Elephas maximus indicus: one gene and its partners. The protein of the gene in region 3 purifies or fractionates together with the protein of the main gene of each other region. This does not show direct contact. Links are inferred from orthologs where the notes say so. Each region holds a gene or a part of one and is shown on either strand. Other genes may lie near its edges.

Evidence for each region.
Region 1: the proteins of SMAD3 (region 3) and HIF1A purify together in Homo sapiens (affinity purification with western blotting; 4 studies listed by BioGRID and IntAct, with this or other methods). This does not show direct contact. The link is inferred for Elephas maximus indicus from reciprocal best matches to the Homo sapiens genes SMAD3 and HIF1A.
Region 2: the proteins of SMAD3 (region 3) and RNF111 purify together in Homo sapiens (affinity purification with western blotting; 5 studies listed by BioGRID). This does not show direct contact. The link is inferred for Elephas maximus indicus from reciprocal best matches to the Homo sapiens genes SMAD3 and RNF111.

What each region holds. Positions count from the first base shown.
Region 1 is NC_064828.1:74,099,602-74,103,347, reverse strand, and holds the start of HIF1A (hypoxia-inducible factor 1-alpha), read right to left. Parts: upstream 2,921-3,746; 5' UTR 2,872-2,920; coding exon 2,837-2,871; intron 1-2,836.
Region 2 is NC_064831.1:49,069,261-49,073,006, forward strand, and holds the start of RNF111 (E3 ubiquitin-protein ligase Arkadia), read left to right. Parts: upstream 1-1,245; 5' UTR 1,246-2,006; intron 2,007-3,746. Other genes in the region: SLTM (SAFB-like transcription modulator), read right to left, coding at 3-90, 968-1,129. UniProt on the Homo sapiens protein: E3 ubiquitin-protein ligase. Required for mesoderm patterning during embryonic development. Acts as an enhancer of the transcriptional responses of the SMAD2/SMAD3 effectors, which are activated downstream of BMP.
Region 3 is NC_064831.1:57,139,063-57,142,808, reverse strand, and holds the start of SMAD3 (mothers against decapentaplegic homolog 3), read right to left. Parts: upstream 2,620-3,746; 5' UTR 2,102-2,619; coding exon 1,896-2,101; intron 1-1,895. UniProt on the Homo sapiens protein: Receptor-regulated SMAD (R-SMAD) that is an intracellular signal transducer and transcriptional modulator activated by TGF-beta (transforming growth factor) and activin type 1 receptor kinases.

The DNA of each region.
Region 1 (3,746 bases), on a different chromosome or scaffold from region 3:
GGAATCAACATAAAATGACCTATGTTAAACCTATTATAACCATATCCACTCTGTTCTGATTTCTTCCAATCCTTCAAATTTTTTTTCCTCCCTAAACCAATACTGCTTTAAAAAAGATAAATTTCCCCACTCCAACTCTGGATACTCATTTAAAATGGAAAAATCGCATGGAATCCTAGACTATTCCCCTTATCTCACTCCCAATACATATATGGGAAATTCCTGGCCCTCAATCCCTCAATTATCTTTAAGTTCTAAAATTGTTAGTTAGAAAAGAATTAAAAAAGGCATCTTTTACCAACATCTCAAAAGACCCCCGGTGGTGCAGTGGTTAAAAGTTTGGCAGTTCAAATCCACCAGCTGCTCTTTGGAAATCCTATGGGGCAGTTCTACTGTCCTATAGGGTTGGAATTGACTCCATGGCAATGGGTTTTTTTTTTTTTTTTTTTTTTTTGGTTTAAAAGGAATCCCTGGGTGGCCAAACCATTAAGCATTCAACTACTAGCCCAAAAAAGAGCCCTGGTGGTACAATGGTTAAGTGCTTGGCTGCTAACTGAAAGCTCAGCAGTTCGAATCCACCAGCTGCTCCATGGAAGATGTGGCTCCCATAAAGATTTACAGTCTTGGAAACCCTATGGGGCAGTCCTACTCTCGTATAGGGTCGCCATTAGTCGGAATCAACTTCACAGCAATGGGTTATCAGCTCACAGGTTGGAGGTCTGAACACACCCAGAGGTGTACTGGAAGACAGGCAGGTCTGGCTTAGATCTGCTTCTGAAAGGTCACAGCCTTGAAAACCCTGGAGCAGTTGTACACCATGAATCAGAATTGACTCGACTTCAACTAATAACAATAACAACAAAAGTTGCTCAGTTGCTACCACTTAAATGTTCAACTTAATTTTTCAATTACATTAAGAACCCTATGGGGCAGTTCTACTCTTGTATAGGGTCGCTATGAGATGGCCAATGCGTTTTTTGTTTATATAGAGAAATATGAATCAATCTGATCCAAGGTTGTTAAATCTGATTGATTAACCAATCTAAGGCTCAAAATGATATATATTTTTTAATTTTAAATGACAGATGGGAAAGAGGAAAATCTAAGAGTTCCTTTAAAATTGGAGGTGATGCACAGGAGCTAATTCATGTTAAAGTTGCTTATAATATTCTCAACTGATCAACTGCAAAAAAAAAATGAGTATAATATACCATACAAAAAGGAAGTGACTGGTGCATAACTTAATACATTTTATTAAGTAGGATTCAAAGTGTAATAAGGACAAAAAGTTGGCACTACCCAGAGGTAATCTGCCTTAGGTTTACAATGTAGCAGCCTCACCATTTCATCAAAAGCATGGTAATCACTTATGCAAAATTAACTGCAATTAATTCCTGGCAATTCTTGGAATTAAGTCTAGGCCTGTTCTGTTTGCCCACTTCTTGAATTTTATGAGTGCTTTCTCTGGTATATGCAAATTGAAAGGCTAACATTTCTATTTAAATAAGACCAAGATACGATATCGACAAAATAACAAGAATATAAACAAGTTTATCTTCCGTTGATACTGATTAGAAAAATTAATCTCTCCCAGAGCATTGGAAGGACTTAACCGTAAATCCAGGCCACTATCCACAAACTCTGAATCTTCAATTCCTTAAAATGATTTCCTCAAAGGTTACAATACCAAAGTGGACCAAATTGGGGGGGAGGGGCCTGGGATCACTTTTAATTCCGCTGGTTCATCCCCGTCGCAATTAATCCTTCTATAATGTACCCCTTGGACTCAAACTTCAAGTGGTGTTTTATAAACTTGCAGTAAGTTATAATAGTATGATTATTTACTTATGATGTATTTGAAGGTTCTCCTTTAATATACTTCAATTTCAGGACCATGAGGCAGGGTTTGGAAAAATTCGCAACATTTCAGTGCTGCATTTCATTTGCTCTGGTCACATTTTTATTTTCAATCCCCATAAAACTGTTCCTCTAAATTTAACTAGCCGCTACATTTTCAACTACCATATTTTCAAGAATGAATGAGGCATATATTCATTTCGAACGTCGGGCTCTCGTGACAAGTGATAGGAACACAGTATTTAATCCTGGTGTCCTTTTTAAAACGTTATTTCTTTGAATTCCCGTGGCTCCGACTCTCCGTCTAGGCAAGTTTTTCCAGGCGATTAAAACAAAACCTGCACGTGCAAAACTAAAAAGTTAGTATTTTAAGGCCGTGGCGGCAAATCCCTAATGCACAAAGGCAAAGACACCCCTGGCGTCCGGACTAGTGCGGGGCAAGATCACATTCCACCTACCCTAGCCCCTACGTCGGAAAGCCCCGGGCCCGAGCCCCCTGGGAAGTCAGGACCAGCGTGCAGGGCCCGCCCCGGGGCCGAGTTTTCAATGGAAGCCGAGAGGAGGGGGGCGGGAAGGAGCGGAAGCTCCGGGTGCAAACGGCGGCGACCGACCTGCGGTTTATTTCTCTTCCCGGGGTTTTCAGACTGGGCACAGTCTGTCCCAGCAGGGACAGAACGCCAGCGGGGTGCCTGAGGCGGGTAGGAAGGCGACGCCGCAGGCCCCGGCCGACAGGGACGGAGGCCGCGCAGGCAGGGCTCAGACCCCGGCCCCTGAAAGCACTTTCGATGTGTCTTCCACCCCCCACGACAAGATGGCGACGTGGACAGCGGGGGAGCCGACCGGCGAGGTGGGGGAAAGAGGGGAGGGGGAGAACAGGCAGAAACAAAAAGGCCGGCCCCCCAGGAAAGCTGAGGCCCGCCCGCGAGCGCGGGGCGGGGGCGCCGGTAGAGAACGGGGCCGGCGGAGGGAACGGGCTTACTTTTTCTTGTCGTTCGCGCCGCCGGCGCCCTCCATGGCGAATGGGTCCCCGCGATGCCTTCGCGGCCGGCGGCCCCCAGGCTCGCTCCGGCCTAAGCACTGGCGCCCTCCACACGCGGAGAGACAAGAGGCAGGTCCAGAGGCGGGGGCTGCGAGGCGGGAATTCCCTCCCAAATCCAGAGGCGGGAGGAGGAGGCGGCAACCGCGAAGGTCCAAGGCTGGCTCGGAAGAGCCCCTCCGCGGGTTGCTTGTCGGGGCCGGGCCCAATGCACTGGCCGAACAGGCGGCGAGGGCGATCCTCGCCTTCCCTCAGACCAGACGGCTCTGTGCTCTGAGGCGCAGGGGCAGCGGCAGGGGGCGGACAAGGGCGGAGGCGCGCTCGGGCTCGCGGGGAGGGGCGGGGCGGCGGGAGCGCGCCCGCCCGCGGAGCCCGCCGCGCGCTCTTGCAGGCCCGCCTCACCTGAGGGGGAGGCGGGTTCCTCGCGAACCAATGGCAAGCGGAGCAGGCGGCCAGTCCCCACCCCAGCCCACGTCGCTCTTAGCCAATCAGGCGGCGGTCATCTGGGCACAGCTGGGACAGGCTCCAGAGCTCACGTGCTCGTCTGTGTGCAGCTGCGGGGGAAAGAGAAAGGACCTGGGTGGAGGCTGAGCCCGAGTCTGGGGACTGTGCGCCTACTCCTAGATGGGGGAGTGGCTGGCTTTGGGAGGCAGTGCCGAAAAGGGATTTCGGTTGCAGAGTACCAACCCTGCATTACATTTCCTGCCTCTAGATGCAGTAATCTAAGTCTCCCGCTCTCTTTCCCTCCTGGGGCAGTGCTGGGCAGGGTTGCCGCCCAGCTTTTCTGAGTTTTCAGTTCAAAAAAAGCAGACTTTTGGCGTCGTGGCAGCAAGCCCCATGGTTTTTTTGCTCA
Region 2 (3,746 bases), about 8.1 Mb from region 3:
ACCTTTGCCTTTGGTTGGTTTCTTGTTTGGAGTATCAGTTGAAACAGTTAATTCAATATTATCTGGATCGCCTCCTTCCTCTTCAATAGCCTACATTAGAAAGAGAAATTAATATGCTACACAATCTATCTAAACTTATTTTACAAAAACGCAATGAAAAAAAAATCAGCAAACCTCAAGCCTCAAGATGTTAGAATTGCCAGTCATTTCATAAACTGACTTCAAAAAAGAGCAATTAAACCACACGAAAAAGGTAAGAGAAGCTTGCGGGGCGGGGGGGCATTATTAGGTATCAAAATCACATGGAGTTTAAGGTTCTACCAATTTGAGAAAATTATATATCACATATTATCATACTCAACAAAAAAACCTAATATGCTCAATCGCAGAAAAGCTGCCAGCTGCTAAAGTAACTAAAAGGAGTTTTCCCAATATCTGCAACGCAAACTTATCCCTCCTCTACCACAATTCCAACGCTCTCTCAAATAAGCCAGAATGATTGTAATCAAGGATGAAAAAGGAGATTACTGCGAGGATGCAAAAACTGAAAACCCGATGGAAAACAAAACCTCTCCCCCCGCCCCATCAACTCCCACTACCGCCCCCCCCCCATGGGGAGGAAACGGTTGGGCACCATTAAACGGTAACTTCGCAGAAGTCACCAAAGTAACCATTCCCCCCGAGGCCCAGGGAAGCACGCGCTCACCATGGCTGAGGCTGGGGACCCAGCGCCGCCCGGCTCCGCACAACGCCCTTGGGAGGCCGCTCCGCCCGCCCGCCCGCAGCCCTGGCAGCCGGCACGGACGTCCCGGGGGAGCGGGGGCGCGCTCGGCGGCCGGGCGGGGAGGGGCGCCCGGCAGGCCTGCGCGCGCGGCCGGCGCCCGGGCCCGCTCCGCCCCGCGGACCGCGGCGGCCCAGAGACGCCAGGCGCGGCCTACGCTCCGCTTCCGGACCTGCTGGGCCTCACCTGCTTGAGTCGGGACACGAGCACCGTCTTGACGCCGGTGATGTCTAAATTCCGCCGCTTCAGCTCCGACTTGAGGTCGATGACCCGCAGGTCGGTGATCTTCTTCCCTTCCGCCTGATCCGAGGCGGCCGCGGCCGCCACAGCACCGGTAGCGGCAGCCATTTTAGGAGAGCGGCGCGCTGCCGAAGCAGCGAGTGGGCTGCAGGGCGGCGGCGGCAGCGCCAACTTGGGCTCGGGCCGCGGAGGCCGCTACGCACGGCGCTACGCACGGCGCTGCGCACAATGTGCCGCGGACCCCGCCCCCGCCGCCCAGCGCGACTTCCGCCGCCGTCGGCACCCGGATGACGGGCGCGCGTGCGCACTGAGGGGGCAGCGCCCGCGCGCTCCGCCGAACCCCCCTCGGCCACCTGGGCAGGGCGACCCCTGAAGTGGGCTGGGACGTCAGGCAGGTCCAACCGCAGCAACGTCCGCCGCGCCGCGGATCTCCCGCGGCCTCGTTAGCCATTTTCTAGCAACGTCTAGAGTCTTGAGCAATGAGAATGTGCTAGGCACGACGTGGCATAGAGTTCGCGAGTTACTAAACACAACCCTAAAAGACCTGCGCACGCCCCGAGCCTCACCCAGGGAGATACTTTGTATCTCTGCTGAGTGATCGAAAATGTGGTCAGTGTGGACAGGCCACTAATGCACTGGGTTCCTTCCTTTTCAAAACGCCTGAAAGAAACCCTAGAGCTGGTAGTCCAAGAATGTAAAGGGTCGGCCCATGTGACATGTCCCAGTGGCTCTCTCTCGGGAAAACATCATGCCTTCAGCCTTAGTTTATTCCAGGGCTCCCCCCACCCCCAGCCCCACCCCCACCTCAGCTTTGGCTTGGTTTGCCATCCTCGGGGAGGATCTAATGGCTCAACACGAAATAGTTCACTGAATGAGGAAATTAGTTTGATACTGGTTGCCATCTCGTATGCAGTGTTCACTGTTCTGCCCCTAAAATATGGGATTCCAAGAAGAGTGACTACTTATGGAGGACCGGCCTGTACAAGTGAGTACCTATTCATAATTTTAGCCAATACTACTAATCATCAAAGCATAAACATTTATGGAATAAAAGCTATCCTGTAAATTCCATAAATCAAGCATGACATGACACGCAGTTAAATGTGCTAGCATTTCCTGGCTTTAAAATTTAGATTGACGAAGCCTGGTTCACTTTAGCTTGCTCTTCTCTCTTTGATTAGATCAAGGAGGAAGATTGGAAATTGTAAACTAATACTTGACATTTGGGTAGTTCTTTATGGTTTATAATACACTTTGATATTCAATAAGCCTCTTAATCTGTCCTAACTCTGTGAGGTAAATCTCTGCGAGGCTTAACGTGATTAAATGACTTGTCCACGTTCACACAGATCAAATCCAGGTCTCCTGATTGTAAATCCAACTCTTGTCTACCACATTGGTTTCCACTCAGAATTTTAGAATTCAAAGACTTTTTAGTAATCTGAGCCAGTTCTCTCATTTTTTTAAATAGATGAACGTTCTAAGAGGTTTACCTAGATGCTCACAGGTAGGAAATCCTGGTGGTGTAGTGGTTAAGTGGTACAGCAGGTAACCAAAAGGTCAGTTCGAATCAGCCAGGTGCTCCTTGGAAATTCTACTGGGCAGATCTCCCGTGTCCTGTAGGGTTGCGATGAGTCGGAATCAACTCGATGGCAGTGAGTTTGGGTTTTGGGTTTTGGTCTCACAGGTAATTATTGAGCAAATTAACACTAAAGCTCAGATCTCCTTGTTTCAGTGTCTTTTCCACTCAACTCTCCTCCTCCCACTTTCTGTGGATGCTTGCTTGGAAAGAGGGCTTTTACTAACCAAAAGCTCACAGGATATTTAAAGGGAATTAGTTTTTCTTCTGTTGGCCTTTTTTTTTTTTTTTACTTAAAATCTAGTAATAGAGTTATCTAAAATGGAGGTACATGCTGCCTGCTGTGATGCACTTGAGAAGGACACATCACCTATGTCGTATTCATGTGTAACCTGAATCTGATCATGAAAAAAACATGCAGGCAAATTCAATTGTAGGACATTCTACAAATTAACTGGTCTAGACTCTTCAAAATAGCAACATCATGGAAAAAAAAGTTGTGGAACTGTTCCAGAATAAAGATGACTGAAGAGACATGACAACCAAATATCATACTTGATTACTGTTTAGATTCTGGATCAGAGAACATAAAAATGTAAGAACATTTTTGAATCAATGGGAACTTTGACTATACATTAGATTGTGTTGTTATATCAGTGTTAAAGATCCAGAGTATGATATCTTGGTTATGTAGAATGTCCTAGGTCTTAGGGGTGAAGTATCATTCTGTCTGCAATTTACTTTCAAATGGTTGAGAGAAAGAAAGCAAATGTGGCAATATTTTACCATTTGTGAAAGTAAATATAACAAGATATTAATCAAAAACAAATGTGGCAAAATGTTAACAATTAGGGAATCTTGCCAGTTGCCTGCCTTGGAAGTCAGTTCTGACTCATGGCAGCTCCATGTGTATCAGAGTAGAACTGGACTCCATTGGGTTTTCAGTGGCTGCTTTTTTGGAAGTAGATCATCAAGCCTTATTTCCAAGGTGCCTCTGAGTGGACTTGAACCTCCAACCTTTCGGTTAACAGCTGAGTGCATGAAGGGTATAAGGTTGTTCGTTGCATACTATTTAAACTTTTTTACAGGTTTAAAATTATTCCAAAAATACCTCATACATAGATCTATTTTTTTGTAATTTGAGAA
Region 3 (3,746 bases):
CACAGCAGCACAGAGTAACAGAAAGAGTACCAGGTTTGCTGAGAATCCCAAGCCCTCTATGCCAAGCCTTTTCACTTCTCTCCTCCAAAGTTTTCTCAGCTTTAAAAATGAGATAATCTTCAGCATAACTGCTTTATTTTCCAGGGGTTGGTTGGTTGCTTTCTTTTAAGTACTTCATAAAACCATGTGAAAGTGCTCTGTAAACTGTAAAACACTTTCTCGGCTATAATTGCTACCTTTTCTCTGCTTCAACTTGTGAGAAGGTGTTCTCAGGGCACCCTGGACAGGTAAGGAGAAGGCAGGTTTTGCAGAGCCGTCCTCAGATAGGAGAAGTAAGACACCCTCCCCCAACCACAGGAATAAAGAAGAATTCAGAACCGGAGCTGGGAGCAGAACCAGGTCTCTCCGACCAGCCCATCACACCACCTCCTCTGAAGTCAGTTCTGGCTCCTGATCACACACCCAGCACACACTTCCCAGACAGCACACCGCCTTCCCTCCCCCCTTTATTGACTGGATCCACCCAGTTTAAAAAAAATTATTTTTTAAGTCAGCGCTCCCACCATATGTGGCATTTATTTCCAGAGGAGGCCTGCTCTGGGATTCCGTGGACAGATGTTGCTTTGTGCCTGCCTGCCACGGCTGGCAGCCCTCGCACAGCTGCCCCAAGCAGGTGGCCAAGGATGGAGTCCACCCCTGGCCTTGACGCAAGGATGACAATCCATCTGGGACTCTGGTCTTGGGGCCCTCAACTCGTTCCTCTGCAGCCTGGGGCTCCCCACAACGCCCCACTACCCCTACACACACACACACACACACACACACGCACACACACACACTCCCCAGGCCCTTGCTCAGAATCAGACTTCAAAGGGGGCTGGGAGGGAGAGACGGGAGGTCAAGCTGCCGCCCCCACCCCAATTCCCTGCCAGGCGCAACTAAGCTAATCGAGGGTCCAGGAAGTGGAGAGAAGTCAGTGACCCCTTCTATCAGCCATCTGTGAGCTCCCGCCCGACACAGCGAGCGCGATCCGGAGGATAAAGGAGGTCCAGACAGATGGTAAAGCGCTTTGGGAAAGAGGGCTCTGCAGGAATGCGAGGGCCTTGCGAGGCCCACTTTGGGGTGCGTTTTGTTATCTAGCCGGCTCTGTTCTGCAACGACCTGCAATCTGCTAGGCTAAAAGGAGGGCAAAATCAGTGCGGGGCCGGGCGGTGCAGGGCGGGGAGAGCAGGACGACCCTACTCTCCGCCACTGGTCTCTCCTACTGGAAAGTCAGAACAGCGCACTGCAACTAAGTGCGTGTCTGCGTGCGGAGGGGGCGGGAGACTGGCACAACCGAGTCTAAAAATACTCGATAAAAATGCTAATCCCGAAGGCAAACAGAGAAAGAAGAAGGAATCTGTCAATCACGAGCTCCTGCTCCTCACCCACAGCCCCGGCTGTACGGACTGCATTCCTGCTGAGGAGGAGAGGGGGGACAGGGCTGAAGAAAAGAAAGGGAGACACACCACCACCTCCACGAGCGCGGGCCGCGGGGGCGGGAGGCAGCGGCAGAGGAGGGGCTCCGGCCCGCCGAGCCGAACAAAGCGGGCCTCAACTTCCAGCCCGCAGCGCCCCGGGGTGGGGGCGGCCAATTCCAGCGGCACCCCCTTTTCCGGGAGATGGAGAGCGAGTGTGGAGTCTGGAAGCGAGAGCGCCGCGTGGAAGCCCCAGGCTCTGAATCTTTTGCAAAGCCAGAAAGGGTTTTATTTGGGGTCCCCTCACCCCCTTCCTGCTGGCGCCCCAGCCCCCCCCTTACACACACACACAAACACACCCTCTCCAAATGCACCCAGCCGACCCTGCGCAACAAGGGGCTGGGCCCGGCGCGCCCCCCGGGGCCCCGGGGCCCCCACCTGGGGATGGTGATGCACTTGGTGTTGACGTTCTGCGTGGTGATGGCCTTCTCCAGCTCGTCCAGCTGCCCCGTCTTCTTGAGTTTCTTGACCAAGCTCTTGACCGCCTTCTCGCACCACTTCTCCTCCTGCCCGTTCTGCTCGCCCTTCTTCCAGCCCAGCAGGCGCTTCACGATCGGGGGGGTGAAGGGCAGGATGGACGACATGGCTGGGGGGTGGGGACGCGCGGGCGGCCAGGGGCGCCCCCGGCGGGGCTGGACGCGGCGGGACGCCGGGGGCGCAGAAGGGAGTTCTGCCGGGGCCGGCCGCGGCCGCCCAAACTTCGCCTCAACTCTCCGCGAACTTTCCCGTGTGCCGGGCCGAGCCGCGGCGCTGCAGCCTGCGGGGCTCGGCGCGCGGCCCTGCGCCCCGAGCGGCTCCCACGGCGGGGAGAAGGGCGGCAGGAGAGGCGGGCGGACGACAGCGGCACCGGTTTGAGCAGGCCCCGAACGCGGGGCAGAGGCGGCGGCCGGGAGACTCGGAGTGGCAGAAAAAAGTTTGGGTTTCCGCACGGGGTAGCAGTTTGGGTGCCGCCTCCGGGAAGGAAAGTCCAACCCCCGAGCCAAACTTTGCACTCCTCGCTCGCTTTGATGCGCAGATCCCTCCGCCTCTGCGGCCTCGCCTCCCGGCTTCCCTCCTCCTCCGTACTCGCTGCGCGCTCGCTGGGCCGGCCGGTGCCTGCGCCGCGCTCCCGCTCCCGCCCGCTCCCAGTCTGTGTTTCATGCAAATCCGCGTGCAGCCTCCTTTCCAAACCCTGTCACCGCCCCCTCGCCGCTGGGGCTCTCCGCCTCCTCCTCCGCGCCCCACCGCCTCCTCCCCGGGCGCCCTACCCGCCCCTTGCTCCGGGGAGGGCGCCCAGCCTGCCCCCGCCCCGCGCCTAGCGAGCCCACGTGGGCGACCCGGGCTGCCGCGGCCCCGGCTGGAGCGCGCGGGCGTCCGCGCGGCCGCGACCCGAAGTCGGGCAGGCGCCGGGAGGAAGTCGTGGGAAAGGAGCGGCGAGAGGGACCCCAGGCGGGAGGCCCGGGCGCCGGCCCTGGCGTCCCCTCTCGGAACCCACACTCGGGAAGCTCTGTTGGAGTTGCCGGCCGGAGAGGGCTGGGCTTGCAGCAAGTTGGCGCCGTCCCGCCAAGGGCTAGCGGTGCACCCGAGGACCCGGCCCCGAGAGGGGACGCACGTAAGGCCGAGGCCCCGCGCGCGCTGATCCCGCTCCGAGGCCTTGGCCGGCGCGGGCGACCCGGGTGCTGTTTTTAGTCTCTCATCGGTGAGATCACACCAGCTGAGAGTCCCGAGACTGAGTGCGGAGGCGAGAGCTAGGGGGTAGGAGGGGACTCTCAGAAGTGGAGATTTGGGGACCTCAGGGACTCCTCGGACTCTAGCTGAAGCCAAGGGTCCCTTGGGCCCTGGGAACCAAGTGCCCGATGGAAAGGACCTCAAAGACATCTATCTGCTGAGTTGATGAAGGAATGAAAGAAGACGGTTTAGAATTTACCTTTAGGGGGAAATTGCTTTACAAGGTGTTGTGGAGTCTTACACAGAAAGATCCGAAATCCAGCAACCAAGAAACAGAAGACAGCTTTGTTTTCAAAGCAGGGGCCTCAGAAAAAAGTGGCGCAGAACGGGAGTAGTACCCCAGAACTTTATTATTCAAACTTATCCTGGGTGGGAAGCAAACAAACTCTGGGGGAGCTCCGGGGCTTTTCTCGCCACCTGAGTGATTCAGGGACGTTTGACCACAGGCCCCTCAGCCGCTTTCAGGAGTCACCACAGTTCCCCAATGCCTACGGCCTTCTCCCCCGACCCTGCCCCTAGCCC